Linked DNA regions of Canis lupus familiaris. The protein of the gene in region 1 purifies or fractionates together with the protein of each later gene. This does not show direct contact. Links are inferred from orthologs where the notes say so. Each region holds a gene or a part of one and is shown on either strand. Other genes may lie near its edges.

Region 1 (7,626 bases):
GAGATTACTTAAAAAAATAAAAAACTTTCTAGGGGCACCCAGATAGCTCAGTTGGGTGAGCGTCCAACTCTTGCTCTCAGCTCGGGTCTTGATCTCAGGGTCATGGGTTTGATCTGCGCTGGGCTCTACAGTGGATGTGAAGCCTACTTAAACAAACAAAAAATTTCTCCACATATTTAAAGTTCTTGAAATTTACATTTGCAAAAAAGTAGATTCACCTGCTCAAATTGTTCCAAACAAGTTTCCAAAAAGGGGCAGCCCGGATGGCATAGCGGTTTAGCGCCACCTGCAGCCCAGGGCGTGATCCTGGGGTCCCGGGATCAAGTCCCGCATCAGGCTCCCTACATGGAGCCTGCTTCTCCCTCTGCCTGTATCTCTCATGAGTAAATAAAATAAAAATCTTAAAAAAAAACAAGTTTCCAAAAAGAAACAAGTTGTTTTTGCTATTTTTTTAAAGATTTTATTATTTGAGGGATCCCTGGGTGGCACAGCGGTTTGGTGTCTGCCTTTGGCCCAGGGCTCGATCCTGGAGACCCGGGATCGAATCCCATATCGGGCTCCCGGTGCATGGAGCCTGCTTCTCCCTCTGCCTGCGTCTCTGCCTCTCTCTCTCTCTCCCTGTGACTATCATAAATAAATAAAAATAAAAAAAAAAGATTTTATTATTTGAGAGAAGACAGAGCACCCTCAAATGGGGGGAGGAGCAGAGGGAAGGGGAGAAGCAGACTCCCCACTGAGCAGGGAGCCCATGGGATCATGACCTGACCTGAAGGCAGACACTTAACCAACTGAACCACCCATGCACCTCTCCTTTTTTTCTCTTTTCTTTTTGATAAAGAGCAGGGAGGGGGGAACAGAGGGAGATGGTGAGAGAGAATCTTAACCAGTCTCCACTTCTACCATCAAATTGACTGGGGACTTGATTCCCTCACCCTGAGATCAGGACCTGAGCCAAAATTAAGAGTCAGATGGGGTAACTGACAGCGCCCCCCCCCCCCCAGCCCCAGGATCAGTTTCTAAGTTTACTTTATTTTTAAAGATTTTATTTATTTATTCATGATAGTCACACAGAGACTTTTTTTTTTTTTTTAAGATTTATTTATTTATTCATTCAGAGAGCCCGATGCGGGACTCGATCCCGGGTCTCCAGGATCACATCCCAGGCTGCAGGCAGCACTAAACCACTGTGCCACCGGGGCTGCCCGGGATCCCAGTTTCTAAGTTTAAATAATTTTTCACTTTAGCACTTGTTTTTGTACAATAATTTTTCAAAACAATTTTTAAAGATTTTATTTATTTATTCATGAGAGACACACAAGAGAGAGGCAGAGATGCAGGCAAAGGGAGAAGCAGGCTCCCTACAGGACCCCAGGATCACACCCTGAGCTGAAGGCAGACCCTCAACTGCTGAGCCACCCAGGCTTCCCTTGTACAATAATTTTTGTTACAATTTTTTTTGAAAAGGTAATCCACTGAGAAGTTTTCGTCCTGTTCTTGCTTCTGTCCACTCGGTTTTCCTGCTCTCCTAATAAACACACTACCAGTTAAGTTTAAAGTAGGTAAGATGTAAAACTCAGCTCCTCAGTTGCACTGGGCACATTTGGAGTACTCGGCATTCACCGTGGCTGCTCTGCGGCTGTGTGGGAGCGCAGGGATCTCACGGTCTCCATCTTTGCAGAGTTAGTTCTCTTGGACAGTGATGCCCTAACACACAGTGGGCACTCACTGGAAAGGGAATTGTTCTCAATACTGAGTCTGTGCCGAGCACTGAGCTTGGTGCTCTCCTTCCTCTCTTCTGTCCACGGATCCCCAGACAGTCCACTGAGACAGACACATCTCTCATCCCGTTTTACAGAGGACACTGAGGCCCAGCGAGCGGAGCCATCTGCCCGAGGACACAGAGCTGGGACCTGGAGGGAGTCAGCTAGAGACTGGTCCCTTCCTCGACCACGCAGCCCCGCTCGCTCCCTCCCCAGGATCAAGGCAACGCCCGCCCCCAACGCCCCCAAAGCCAGCCCCAGCCCCACCTCTCCCCCTCTGTACAAAGTCCTTGCCCCCAAGAAATTGTATATAAATCATCCTTTTCTACCAGCTGTCGCCAGGCCTGTAGATGGGACAGGATGTGGACGGGGCAGTTTGGGTGCGGATCCTGGTTTTTCGGTTAATGCAATGCTTCATTCAGTCCCTGCTCTCTGAGGCCGCCTGGGGTGCAGAACCAGTGCGCGGCAGCGCCGAGACCCAGTCGGGGGGAGTCAGGACCCGCCGGCCCGGGGCTCCGGATCTGAGGGGAACAAGACCCTGGGCGCCTCGGTGCAGCGGCTGCAGTACAGGCCCTCGGAGCCCGCGGCGAGTACGCGTCCCGGCAGCCTGAGATCCCGGGGGGCGCCCTGGAGGAGAGGACTCCTCCGCAGGAAAGCACTGGGACTGTGACAGTCTGAGGCTTCAGAAGGTGGGGCTGGAGGGGAGGACATCCGAGGCCAGGGACGCAGCCGAAGCGAAAACCTCGAAGCCGCCTGGTAGTCATTCCCTCGTACGCTCTTAGAGCTCAGAGGGCAAACTATTTCCATCTGTTTTACAGACGGGGACACTGAGGCCCAGACAGGGTCAGGCGGGGGCCGGGGGGTGGGGGGGTGGGGTTCGGCCAAGTCACTGGGAGGCGGAACAGCCACTGGAATCCAGACCTTTAAGCCTAGACTGCGCGATGAAGAGAGAGCCCACTGGCCCCCTGCGGGCCACCGCGTGCCCTGCAACCTGCTGTCGCTTCAGCGAGTGACGGCGCTTCCCTCCGCTCCCCGCAGACACCCGACCAAGCCCCCAACGCGGAAATTCGCAGCCCCTCAAAAATATGGCTGCCGAGGCTGGACAGTCCCGTCCCAGCGGAGCCGCATCATACCCCACGTGATCTCTCGCCCAGCACAGCAATGGCTGCTTAAGAGCCGACGAGAAGGACTGGACGCGGATTGGACAGTTAGAAGACGACCCGCCTTCTAGCGGCTCCCTTTGCGCACGCGCAAAACACTCTAGCCAATGAAAAGACGGAAAGCTGCCCGTACAGCCCATGCGGCGTCACTTCCTCCGCCCCTGTTTCAAGGGATAAGAAACCCTGCGCCGAGGCTTCCTCCTTTCCCAGGCGGCTGCCGAAGATGGCGGAGGGGCAGGTGCGGGCTCTTCGCGGGCCGGGGAGGCGTGGGGCCGGGTGGGTTCCAGGCCGGAATGGGGTAGGGCCCTCTTTGCCCTCATAAGTGTGTTGTGAAACCTAAACTCGATAATTGAACGAAAGGAGAAGCTTTCGGCCTAAGGAATCTGCAACGGGGAAACAGGAGATAACTAGGATGGCTTCTTTTTGTTCGGGAATGGCTAAAATGCGGCATTACCCCTTTTCTCTTAGGGGCATAATGGGGGCTCCCAAAATAGAAAGCTACTTTAAAAGTAGGGCTCGTTTGTCTTCCTCTCGGCCAAGCCTTGGCCGAGTTGGGCCCGTGTGTCCTTAGCGACGGAAAGCGCCTGGGCTGTGAGAAGCCAAGGATTGGCCAAAATGGAGGGCGCTACCAGCCTGCTCGAGGCGCGCGTCCCCTCACCCTCGTGGGAGTTCTCACCCGCCGCCTGCAGCTCTGGACGCTTTCGTAGGAGGTCTTAGGCGGTGGGTCCAGAGCGTTCCTGCCTACTGGACGTCCAGGAACGAATTGCTCTTTTCGTTGCTCCTGGAGCAGAGAACTGATGAAAGGCTCCGCTGCCCATGGCCACCTGAGGGACACCGCAGAAGCGGCGGACTCCTTGTCTTGATTTTTTTAAATATGAAAGCGAGGATGGTTCCGGAAAGGGTGTCCATGTGAATTTATGTAATGAGTCTGAGCGGTAAGGGGAGGAAAAGGCACGTTTGTGGAGTCCGGAGAGGTGGTAAGGTTCTCTGAACACGTGTTCGCGCAGTCAACTGTGCCTGGCACCATTGGGTTTATATTTAGTGTAATACGGTTAACATACCATAATGTTCCTGAGGCAGATATTGTTATCCCCATCTTCCAGGTGAGGAAGCTGGAGATTTTTAGCCAAAGTCACATTGTCAGGAAGTCTGGCTTTAGATTCTGTATCCTTCTGCCTTCCAACAATCACAAGTATATAACAAGCACTGGGTAAGAGTGGGGACTTGACTCGTGGTGAAGAAGCTAAGGATTTGACTTTGAGAAGTTCGCCCAGGGATGCTGAGCTAAATTCGACATAAGATCTGGCACCAGCTCCTGACTACTCTGCAGAGCCTCTCCCACTGACTGGATCAATGGACAGACTGTTGCCAGCCTTTGTTCAAATCCCAGCTCATCCTCTCACCCTTGAATGTAATTGGGGCTTAAGACTTCCTGCCCTTTAGGCAGCTGAGATGTGAGGAAAGGCCTTTGTTTTAATTCTGTTCACGGAAATCGTGTCAACCTTTGGTTTCTTGGCCACATCTGTTCGGTGGGCCTCGGGTCCTGGTTTTCAGGCCTGCTAGTGGATAGGGCACTCTGGGGGATAAGGTGACAAACCAGCAGCACTAGTTGCTTTGGGTGGGGAGTCAAAGCTGAAGATGCATCTAAGCCTTTTTATCCTATCTCCACCAGGTCCTGGTGCTCGATGGCCGAGGCCATCTCCTGGGCCGCCTGGCGGCCATTGTGGCCAAACAGGTGCTTCTGGGTAAGTCTGCTCTGCCCACGGTTCCTCTGGGCATGGGTCCCATCCAGCGGTCAGTGATGAGCAACAATCACCATCTTTCGTTTGAGTCTCACGACCATGAGATCAACCCCATGCACCGCTCTGAGACCTACTAGCTACTCCCTCTCCTGGGGTCTGGGAGTTCGAGATGGAAAATTTTCAGTCAGGCTGTAAATATAAGCATAAATCAAGTTCTTCTTGGGGCAAGAGGTTCCCCTGCAAGAGGCCTTGGCTTTCTTGTACGTTGTGGTCAGCTCCACACAGAAGGATCCATGTTCCAGGGTCTTCAGGAGGTGGGTGGTAACCAGTTTATATGTAGAGCCGCTTGTAGCCTTTGTTCGCACTTTCCTTTTCCTCTAGGCCGGAAGGTTGTAGTCGTGCGCTGTGAAGGCATCAACATTTCTGGCAATTTCTACAGAAACAAGTGTAAGTTAGGACCTGGGAGGAGGGCTGGAGGGTGGACCTGGGAGATTCGCAGTCTTCATTGGCTCCAGGGGCGAGCCCACTGGTGGTGGGAAGTGCTCATTTGCGTTCCCGAACAGGCCCTTGGGAGCATGGATGTGTGTTGGAAGAAGTTAGCCTTTGGCTGGGGGCTGAGGTTTCACACCCTCTCTCTCCCCAGTGAAGTACCTGGCCTTCCTCCGCAAGCGGATGAACACCAACCCATCCCGTGGCCCCTATCACTTCCGGGCACCCAGCCGTATCTTTTGGCGGACAGTTAGAGGTGAGCGGGGCCTGAGGACTGCAGGTGGCGAGGGGATGGGTGGCCAGTGATGAGGACTTCTCCCACTTGTATTCGAGTTTCCTGACTATGAGATGACTCCACATGCACTACCATCTGAGGCCACCACTGTGACCGTGGGGTTGGGTGGGGTTGGGGGCAGGGTCCTCATGAGCCCCACTGAGCAAGTCTGTTGGTCATCCACCCACAGGCATGCTGCCCCACAAGACCAAGCGAGGCCAGGCTGCCCTGGACCGCCTCAAGGTGTTTGATGGGATCCCACCACCCTATGACAAGGTGAGCTCCACAGCCTCCTGTACAGCATTCATGTGTCTGGCGTCCATGATGTTGCACAGTTGTACCTACATTGTTTGATCCTCATGAGAACAGCATTGGCTGAGACGCTGTCCCAGCAGCCTTCTTCCCTGTCTGTCCCTTATTCCAGGGCTCTTAAGCTCCTCTCCTTCTCTAACAGAAAAAGCGAATGGTGGTTCCAGCTGCCCTCAAGGTGGTACGCCTGAAGCCTACACGAAAGGTGAGTTCCAGGTTAGGCTGGGTACTCTGACTAGGGGGCAAATCTGAGGTCCCTGAAACTGGCAGATGATGGCTCTTTCTCACGATGGTCTGCGGATGCCACAGTGGGCAGTGCCGATAATGCCAATGGCTCAGCTGATGCCAGCAGGAGCAGGGAGCCCCTTGGGGTGGCTGTATCTTTAGCTGAGACCTGCTGAGAAAATTTGGGTCCTCCAGGACAGCTTGCCACCCTGGCTCCACTTGGCTTAGAACTTTCTTCTCCCCTCCCACACAGTTTGCTTACCTGGGGCGCCTGGCTCACGAAGTTGGCTGGAAGTACCAGGCAGTAACAGCCACCCTGGAGGAGAAGAGGAAGGAAAAGGCCAAGATCCATTATCGGAAGAAGAAACAGCTTATGGTGAGGATGGGCTGGAACCAAAGGGTACCGTGTTCTTGGGCAGGGCCTTGAGGATGATCTCTCTGGACAGAGTGGTCTTTGTTCAGCCCCAGAGGCCTCTGCCTGAGGCCCGACTTGGCAGGGAGTGGAATTGGGCACCTAGGATGAGGAAGGTCTTGGGCAACACCCATTGACCATTGTCTGTTCTCTTACCCCACAGAGGCTACGGAAACAGGCCGAAAAGAATGTGGAGAAGAAAATTGACAAATACACAGAGGTCCTCAAGACCCATGGACTCCTGGTCTGAGCCCAATAAAATTGACTTATTCATCATGCTTGGCCTGGCCTGCCCTTCCTCCATCGCCGCCCTAGGATATGGGGGACTCCCAGGGGCTGCTGCCCTCATGCCTCAGGCAACCTGGGGCTTACAGTACTGGGAACACAAGGCTTTAGTCACTACTGTTAAGAAAGGTCTTCTAAAAAGTTAAAAAAAAAAATTCTTAAGAGTTCTGAGGCATAAGTGCCTGTGACTCATTCCTGAGAGTTATTAGTGCCATTTCACTGTAAGCAAGAAAGACCTGGAAAATGGAGGGGAGCCCTTCGTTGAGAATGGGGTGTATTTAAACTTGTCATGCACAGTCAGGCGCTATACTCTGTAGCTGTTAGGGTGTGAGGATGCTGGGGGCCAAGCCTGGTGTACAGAGGTAGTTCCAGATCTGTAGATGGGGAACAGCCAAGGGGTCACAGGCTCTACCCTTGTGCTATCCCTGTAATTCTGTGATCCAAACCTAATAAATTATTTTTAAAGAAACTTGGCGTCTTGCAGTGTGTGTCTGCTGTGGAGGCAGGCCCAGGGGAGTGAGGCCCTCAGCAAGAAAAGGGGCTGGGAGGATAGGACTGGCCATGCTGGAGTCCTTCCCACAACAGTTGCATAATGACCTATTCTTCATGGAAGAGCTTCTGCCTACCAAGGAATTTTGAGTCGTATGTAGTTGAATTTCTCAAAACCATCATGGTTGCCCAGCAGATTGTCTAATTCAGCTGCAAAGTATGAAATTGTCACTTTTTAAAAATTTTATTCCTAACAACAAAAAAAATAATTTTATTCCTGAGAGGCAGGTTTCTCTACAAGGGGCCAATGTGGGACTCTTCCCTGGGATTGGAATTCTCAACCCCCCTCCCCGAGCCACCCAGGCGTCCCTAAATAGTCCTCTTAAAACCAGTCTCATCACTGGCGGTTGGTCTTGGGCCACAGCAGGAGGTTCAGGAGACCGGAAACATTGAAATTAGCATTAGCCACGGAACTAGGAAT
Region 2 (7,634 bases), on another chromosome or scaffold:
GTCTGCTCCAGATTCTCTGCCTCTCACTCTGCTCCTCTTCCTGTCCCTCCCCTATTCTCTCTAAAATAAATGAAATCTTAAGAAGGGGGGGCAACTGGGGGGCTCAGTCAGTTGAGCATCTGACTCTTGATTTTAGCTCAGGACATGATCACAGGGATGTGGGATGGATCCCCACGTGGGGCTTCGCACTCAGCACAGAATCTGCTTGTCCTCTCCATCTGCTCCTCCCGACCCCCACCCACTTGAATGCACATGTGTGCACACCCATGCACACACATTCTCTGTCGCTAAAAAAATAAAATCTTAAAGTAAAATTCTTGAGGCTGTAGATGGCCATTTCTCATTCTCACTCACTATCCTCGTTTTGAAATAAAAAGTCTTGTGTCTTGCCTAGTGCTGGAGCATATGGACAATGCTCAGTAAACAACACGTATTCAGTTAAGTGAAGAATTTGGGGGTTGAATTTGGGGGTCTTGCTCTTTCCCTCTGTATTTTGTGGAACAATGGCTTAGGCACTGAGAAGAAGTACTCTCTTAGCACCATCTGCTGGCATTGAAAACCTTTCCTGAATCATGGCCTCCAAGTCTTTCAGCCAGTATTGTTAATTGTCCTGATATTCCTCCTCTCCTTAATACCTTTAGCACCGAAGAATTTACCTTTTATCTGTACACAGATGCAGTTACAAAAGAGTGACTTATTTTTGTTCCTTATTTACTATCTAATAAATGTTTTACACTTTAGTGATCCTTGTTTTTGCCTTTTTACAAAGTGAGACACGTGAGATGCTGAGTGAGAAGGAGCTTCACACCAGACTTTGACTCCAAAGACTGTGTTGTCCTTTGAAGTTTATTCGTCAGGTAATGAGCTCTGTGAATGGCACTATCTTTCTGGCTGGACTAGTTACATAGCACATAGCAATATGATGCTTTGAGTTTAGTTACAAAACCTCAGCAGGTGGCCACTATTGTGACAGGAGCATTAGAAGACAAAGAAGTAGGAGATAAGTTCCCTGCCTTCAGAGCACCCAACCTAATCAAGGAAGCAATAAAAAAAATAGTATAGGATAAAGTCTGTGGTGATGCCTGCTAAGTGCCCAGTGCCCAAATAATGGCATTGGGATACATATACGTACACTGTGTTACATATTTGGCAATGCCTGGAGACATTGTCACATCTGGGGTGCGGATACTACTGGTATGTAGTTGGTAGAAGCCTGGGGATGCTGCTAAACATCCCACAATGCATGGGACAGCCCCCCATACTAAAGAATTATCTGGCCCAAAAAAGCCAACAGGGCTAAGACTGAGAAACCTTTGTTAGACCTTTAGCAACCACCATGAGCAAAGCAGGCATGGTCCCTGCCCTCCTAGTATCATGAGGAAATGTTTAAAATATAATAATGTGTGAGGGGCACCTGGGTAGCTCAGTGGTAGAGCATCTGCCTTTGGCTGGGGTCTTGGTACCGAGATCCTAGGATCCAGTCCTGCATCAGGCTCCACGACGGGAGCCTGCTTCTCCCTCTATGTCTCTGTGTCTCTCATGAGTAAATAAAATCTTAAAAACATATATATAATATAATAATGTATTGAAGGAATTCAGAGAAAGACACTAGAGTCTTGCTAAAGTTCAGCCCATAGACTTGAAGCATGGCATCACCGGGAAGCAGGCTAAAACTGCACAGTATCAACCCCCGGCCTCCTAGTGAATGAAAATCTGCATTTTAACGGGACCCTCAGGTGACTACGATGCATATTAATGCTGGAGACACCCTGCACTGGGGGTTTCCAGAAGACAGAACGTGGGCTATTTTTCCTTGTTTAATGAAGACCGGGAAAGAAGGAAGCAAATTCCGGGTGTTGAGAGGTATATAAAGAAGATCCCGAAACGGGCAAGGAGGAATTTCTATTCAATCCAACATAGCGTTTGCCTGCTTACCGCCAGGCATCGTGCTAAGCTCTCTAAATGGAGTATTTCACAGAATCCTCGGAACGCTATTGGGTAGGTCCATCTTATGGGTGAGCAGACCAAGGTACAGAGGTTAGATAACTTGCTCCGGGACCCACTGACTGTCTACCGTGCGGAGTCGTCCACGAACACCTCCACCCACACGGACGAGCCAAAGTCACGGCCCCAGCCCTCCCCACCCAGCAAAAAGCCGATCATGCCAGCCTGTCGTCCTCTCTCTTTTTTTAAGATTTTATTTATCCATGAGAGACACACACACACAGAAGCAGAGACACAGGCAGCGGGAGAAGCAGGCTCCACGCAGGGAGCCCGACGCGGGACTCGATCCTCGGTCTCCAGGATCACGCCCCAGGCTGAAGGCGACGCTAAACCGCTGCGCCACCCGGGCCGCCCCAGTCCTCCTCGAACTCGCGCCGCCAACCGGAAGTCGGAGGAGCGGCGCGCCCTCCACACCGGAAGTCGCAGATGCAACTTGGGAAGCGTTTCCTTGTTTATAAGCCTTGCCACCAGTGTTCAACGAATATAGTAAACGAAGAGAGCGGCTTATGAAGATGACACGGATCCTAAAGTGCTTGGAAGCTCTGTGCAACTTCGGCCGGAATCTGTGTTAGCGGCAGCTAACGGCGCCAGCTGTCGGGGGCGGTCCTCCGAGGGCTAGAAGACCCATCTCTATGGTCAAGCAAACCGAGAGCGGTCCTCTCTCCCCCACGTGGTGGGGCTGCGCATGAGCAGTAGCCGCTGCTCGGGAAACATGGCGGAGCAAGAGTGAGTGTTCGGGCTTTGAATCTCAGTGGGGTCTTGAGCATCTGGTGCCATCCACGGTGTTTATTCCTCCGCGGCGCGAATAGAAGGGTTCTTGTGGACTGAAGGAAGGACAAGAGAAAAGACTCCAGATTTCAAAGGGTGGGATGAGGAGTAAAGCCGTAGGGTTCGGGCTGACGGTCAGACGGAGGAAGCCGCCGTCAAGCCCGAGTTACCTGGAGCGGCGGCGGCGGGCTGAAGAGTGCCGGACTTGGGTTCGCTCAGCCTGACGCAAGTACTACCCCTGCAGATGAGTCTACACCCATCCTAACCCCTCGGGGTTTCTCTAGAATCACGTAGCTGCTAGTGTCTTTAAAAGGCTGTGGCAGTAAAAGCTCCATGGAGGCCTAGGGAGGGCCAGTGGCCCCAGGGTTCGTGACCTTTCACTGCTTTAGGAACGAGGGTTCCCTCGTTAAGGGGTCCATCTTGAGGACTGAAGTCAGAAACCACAGGTTTCAGGGAAGTCTGGCTTTAGGAATTTGAAGAGAGTAAGGTTTCTCGAAGCCCAAGAGATGATTCAGAATTTCATTTATGATTTGCTTTTTAGACACTTTCGCTGATTGCGATTTTCTTATCAGGCAAAGAAAAAAGATCCCTTTGGTTCCAGAAAATCTCCTGAAAAAGAGGAAGGCTTATCAGGCCCTTAAAGCCACTCAAGCAAAGCAGGCGCTTTTGGACAAGAAGGAGGTAATGATGGGGAACCAAGAGAGGGGAATTGGAATGTGTGTTTGGTGAGTTCTGTGTAGGGTGTGTTAAACTAGATTTGGCGTCGTCGACGGTGCTGTCGCCATCAATTCTAACAGGTGTACGGTTCGTGTCTTCGTTTAACAGGTGTTTATGAAACGCTTTCTGCAGGTAAAATGCAGTAGAGTTTGGTAAGGAAAAAGTGGAGTGGAGATTGTACTATAGGTTCATACCAAGTGATTTGAAAGACCACACATGCTTGTGTACCTGGAAGAAAATAATATTATACTTAAAGGTGCCAAACAGTTTTTTGCTATTTGCTAAACGTTTTTGGAAAACAGATATTTTGAAGTCAGGAAAATGAAACAAGCTCATGCTTATTCTGTACCTCATGATGCTTAACCCAATGTTAGGTTCCATAAATATGTGTTGGTAAACGCTGGCTAACAGCATGTAAATTAACTTGTTTATTTATCAGAGGCTTTTCCTAGGAGTTTCAGAGTTTTCACACTTCCATCTTCACTTGGGTACCTCATTTTTCCTTTAAATAGAATAGAAGGTGTTTGTTTGCTTAGGTTTGCGGGACATAATGGAAAATACATTCAATCGAGAGTGCCTGATGAATTACTATTGTAGAAGTAAAAAATAGAGGCACAAAATGGTGATGATGGTCTCCCTTCTTTCAGCAGAATAAAGGAAAAAAGCTCAAGTTTAAGCGACTGGAGTGGTTCCTTCATGATTCCTGGCGGCAGCAGCGTGACAGGGTGCGCCTCAGACGCCTGGAAGTGAAACCTCATGGCTTAGAAGTGCCAGATAAACATTCCTTGGCCTTCATTGTACGCATCCAAAGGTGGGGAACTTGCCACATTCCCAAGGCTGAAGCAAATTGTTGGTTCAGCTTTAGACTCCTTTCTGGGGGAAGTGAGTTATAATAGGCTTTAAGCCACTCGGGCAAGTTGTGCTGGGAATTCAGGGTCAAGCACAACGTGGTTTTTGTCTTTAAGGTTTTAGGAGAGTGACCTTAGGCAAACAGACATGAAAATACACCCAGTGCTGTGAAGGTTGACTGTTGTTGGAGCAGTACTGGTTCAGGACACTCTAAAACAGGGCCTTGAAGCTGAGACCTGCAAACATGGAAGGAATTCACAAATTTCAAGGAAGGCTTTCCAGGCATAGATGCAGAAAGTCCTGAATTGAGAGAATCAAGGCTTCTTTCTAGGAACTGAACCAAGGTCAAGTAAATGGAACGTATTTAGTGCTGGGGAGAGTTCATAAAGCTTTTTTCTCACTTAATTGTACTTTACCCAGTCTACCTGCATGTACAGCTGCCTCCCTCTTTCCAGTACCCAGGCACCCAAACCAGAAAAGTGTGTGCTTTAAATATTTTTGAGTCCTCGTTATTAACCTTCCTACCATTTCTCATAATTTCTTTCCTGGACTGTCGCATTAGCTTCCTGAGTTTCCCTGCCTCTGATGTCACACTTTCAGATCTGTCTTATATGCTCTCCTCAGTGATCATAAAGAAGAAAGGTGATTGTGTTTCCTTTCCCTAAAGTCTTTGTGCTGTTACTGCCCAGGCAGCAAGTCCAGCTTCCTTTGCTTGACGTTCACAGCCCTACACACACACTCACACACCCCCAACACACACTGAATCAGGGCCTCCCTCTGTGTTCTTATAGCACCTCAGGCATTGCTCCACATCATGTGAGAATGATTGTTTACATAGCTGCCACCTCCTGACCTGTTAGACATAGTCTGTGTCTTGCTCTCTTGATGCCCTGTAGTGGCAAACATTTTATAGTTGCTTGCTGGCCTTACGTAAACTGAATAAAGCCTGACGTCCTCTGCTGTTCATTTCAGGATTAATGGGGTGAGTTCACTGGTACAGAGGACCATTGCAAGGCTGCGCCTGAAGAAGATCTTCAGTGGTGTCTTTTTCAGAGTAACCCCCCAGACCATGAAGACACTGCGGATAGTGGAACCTTATGTGACCTGGGGGTGAGAAGATTTTTTGGGTGTGTGGATTCATATTAGATTGTATTTGAGCGTGATGAGAACACTACGATGCATGGGATACTCTTCTCTGAGGCTTGTGTTGCTGCTTCAAGAAATATTTTGTTGTGACCACAGTCACCAGAAATCAGCTGCCAGCCGTAGAACCTTGGAACGTGGGACAAGTAGAACAGGAGATAGCAGAGCTGCTGATAATGTGCCATGAGCAGTACCGTGGCAGGGCTTGTTCACTTGTAGGCTGAGGCTGAGTAAGAGGGGTAGAAAGAAATTAATTTGGGGGGTCTTCAAACAGCTTGGGGCAGTGTTTATGTAAGAGTAGTGTTCCTTCAAATATTAAAACCCAGCAAAAAAAAAAAAAAACCCAGCAAAGGCCTGGATTCTTTTTTTTTTTTTGAGATTTTACTTATTTATTTATGAGAGACAGAGAGAGAGAGAGGCAGAGACACAGGCAGAGGGAGAAGCAGGCTCCATGCAGGGAGCCTAATGTGGGACTTGATCCCAGGATTCCAGGATTACGCCCTGGGTCGAAGGCAGCACTAAACTGCTGAACCACCCAGGGATCACCAAGGCCTGGATTTAATTTCAAATTCTGGCACCATCTTGAGTAAGGGTCATATAAGGTAAGAGTCCTGAACTGTAAGCCAGCGCTTATTTTATTTTTACCTGGGAAAGTAAATTTTTTTTCTGTGGTGAATGTTTATATCCATAAATTTTAATTTCTAATTACCTAGTCAAGGCCACTCTGGTTTTTGACCCCCTTCTTCACTTGTGTAATTCCAAGCGTCCCAGCTGTAGTGTGATAACAGATTTCTTGGTGGGAAGAAGGGGGGGTGTGGACAAATCTCTCCTCGGCCAGGCTGCAGGACTGAGACAGGCCAGTGTCAGTTACAGTGCCAGGGGCTGATAAGGCTGTACTTCATTCTGCCTCACATAGATTTCCAAATCTGAAGTCTGTCCGGGAACTCATCTTGAAACGTGGACAAGCCAAGGTCAAGAATAAAACCATCCCTTTGACGGACAACACAGTGATTGAGGAGCATCTGGGTGAGTGTTCCACTTTACAGGTCAGTTGGGGTACAAAGCAAGGATCTCTGGTCTTCTTGGTGTGGAATTTAGGTCAAATTCTTCTTGGGGTCCCAAGAATCTACTAGAGTGCCCAGCTTTGGCACGTAAGAGCCTCATAGTATATACTGGAGAAGTGTTGAATAAAGGAATCTGTACCTTTTGTTTCTTAGGGAAGTATGGTGTTATTTGCTTGGAAGACCTCATTCATGAAATTGCCTTTCCGGGAAAGAATTTCCAGGCCATCTCTGCGTTCTTACGTCCTTTCCACCTCTCAATGGCCCGACATGCTACCAAGAACAGAGTGGGCTTCCTCAAGGAGGTGGGCTTACCTGGCTATCGAGGTGAACGCATCAATCAGCTCATTCGGCAGCTGAATTAAACCCAGGTGAGGCAGGGCTGGAAACTGCCCTTTGGCTGGCTTTGATGGGCCATGTCTGTCCAGTTAAAAAAAAAAAAGTGTTTTTGCATTTACCAGTATCTGAAAAGTAACTCTAGCAATGGGGGGAGTGAGAAGACTGGTAGCTACCAGTCTAACATGGAAATGTGCTTAGAACAGTGACTGCCTGGTCAGGACATGACACTATGTGTATCCAACAATTAAAGGCTAGAAAATGTCGAGTAGCAAAAAAAAAAATCTGTATCGCTGTGGTCATTTACCTGGAAATGGGGAGAGAATATTAAAAACCAGTTTCAAAAAGGACATGAAGATTTAAACCATCTATTTTGTTGAAAGTATCTTAACTTTTTGAAATTGCTTATTGTGATTAATCTGAGGTGCTTTCATTAAACTTATGTTAATGAAGTTGTGTTTTTCTTCCTCAGAATATCTGGAAGCACAGTGCATTGGTGGCATGTGTTTTGTCTTCTGGAATTGTTACCAGTATCTTCAAAGAAGATTATTTTCTGCTCTATCTTCAGAAACTAGAGGGAGGGTCAAGGAAAAGATGATGCTCCTGGCAGGCACTTCTGACCACAGCAGTTTCAAGGAAAAATTCCAGTGTATTTTCCACATTGCCTGCCACTGCCACCTCTCAAATCAGCAGAGGACTCATGCCATAGAAGGAGTCCTGCTGCGTCACATCTTCTGTTCTGAGGTTTAATGGTGA

What was found.
Region 2: the proteins of RPL13A (region 1) and RPL7L1 purify together in Homo sapiens (affinity purification with mass spectrometry; 3 studies listed by BioGRID and IntAct, with this or other methods). This does not show direct contact. The link is inferred for Canis lupus familiaris from reciprocal best matches to the Homo sapiens genes RPL13A and RPL7L1.

The regions. Positions count from the first base shown.
Region 1 is NC_049222.1:107,685,971-107,693,596, reverse strand, and holds RPL13A (60S ribosomal protein L13a), read left to right. Parts: upstream 1-3,045; 5' UTR 3,046-3,143; coding exon 3,144-3,158; intron 3,159-4,592; coding exon 4,593-4,665; intron 4,666-4,711; exon of another isoform or gene 4,712-4,795; intron 4,796-5,043; coding exon 5,044-5,109; intron 5,110-5,305; coding exon 5,306-5,407; intron 5,408-5,446; exon of another isoform or gene 5,447-5,531; intron 5,532-5,615; coding exon 5,616-5,701; intron 5,702-5,738; exon of another isoform or gene 5,739-5,811; intron 5,812-5,879; coding exon 5,880-5,939; intron 5,940-5,999; exon of another isoform or gene 6,000-6,086; intron 6,087-6,212; coding exon 6,213-6,335; intron 6,336-6,534; coding exon 6,535-6,621; 3' UTR 6,622-7,125; downstream 7,126-7,626. Other genes in the region: FLT3LG (fms-related tyrosine kinase 3 ligand precursor), read left to right, coding at 1,856-2,074. UniProt on the Homo sapiens protein: Associated with ribosomes but is not required for canonical ribosome function and has extra-ribosomal functions.
Region 2 is NC_049233.1:11,630,366-11,637,999, forward strand, and holds the start of RPL7L1 (60S ribosomal protein L7-like 1), read left to right. Parts: upstream 1-2,423; 5' UTR 2,424-2,689; coding exon 2,690-2,730; intron 2,731-3,344; coding exon 3,345-3,453; intron 3,454-4,136; coding exon 4,137-4,300; intron 4,301-5,310; coding exon 5,311-5,448; intron 5,449-6,397; coding exon 6,398-6,507; intron 6,508-6,698; coding exon 6,699-6,907; 3' UTR 6,908-6,913; intron 6,914-7,350; 3' UTR 7,351-7,634.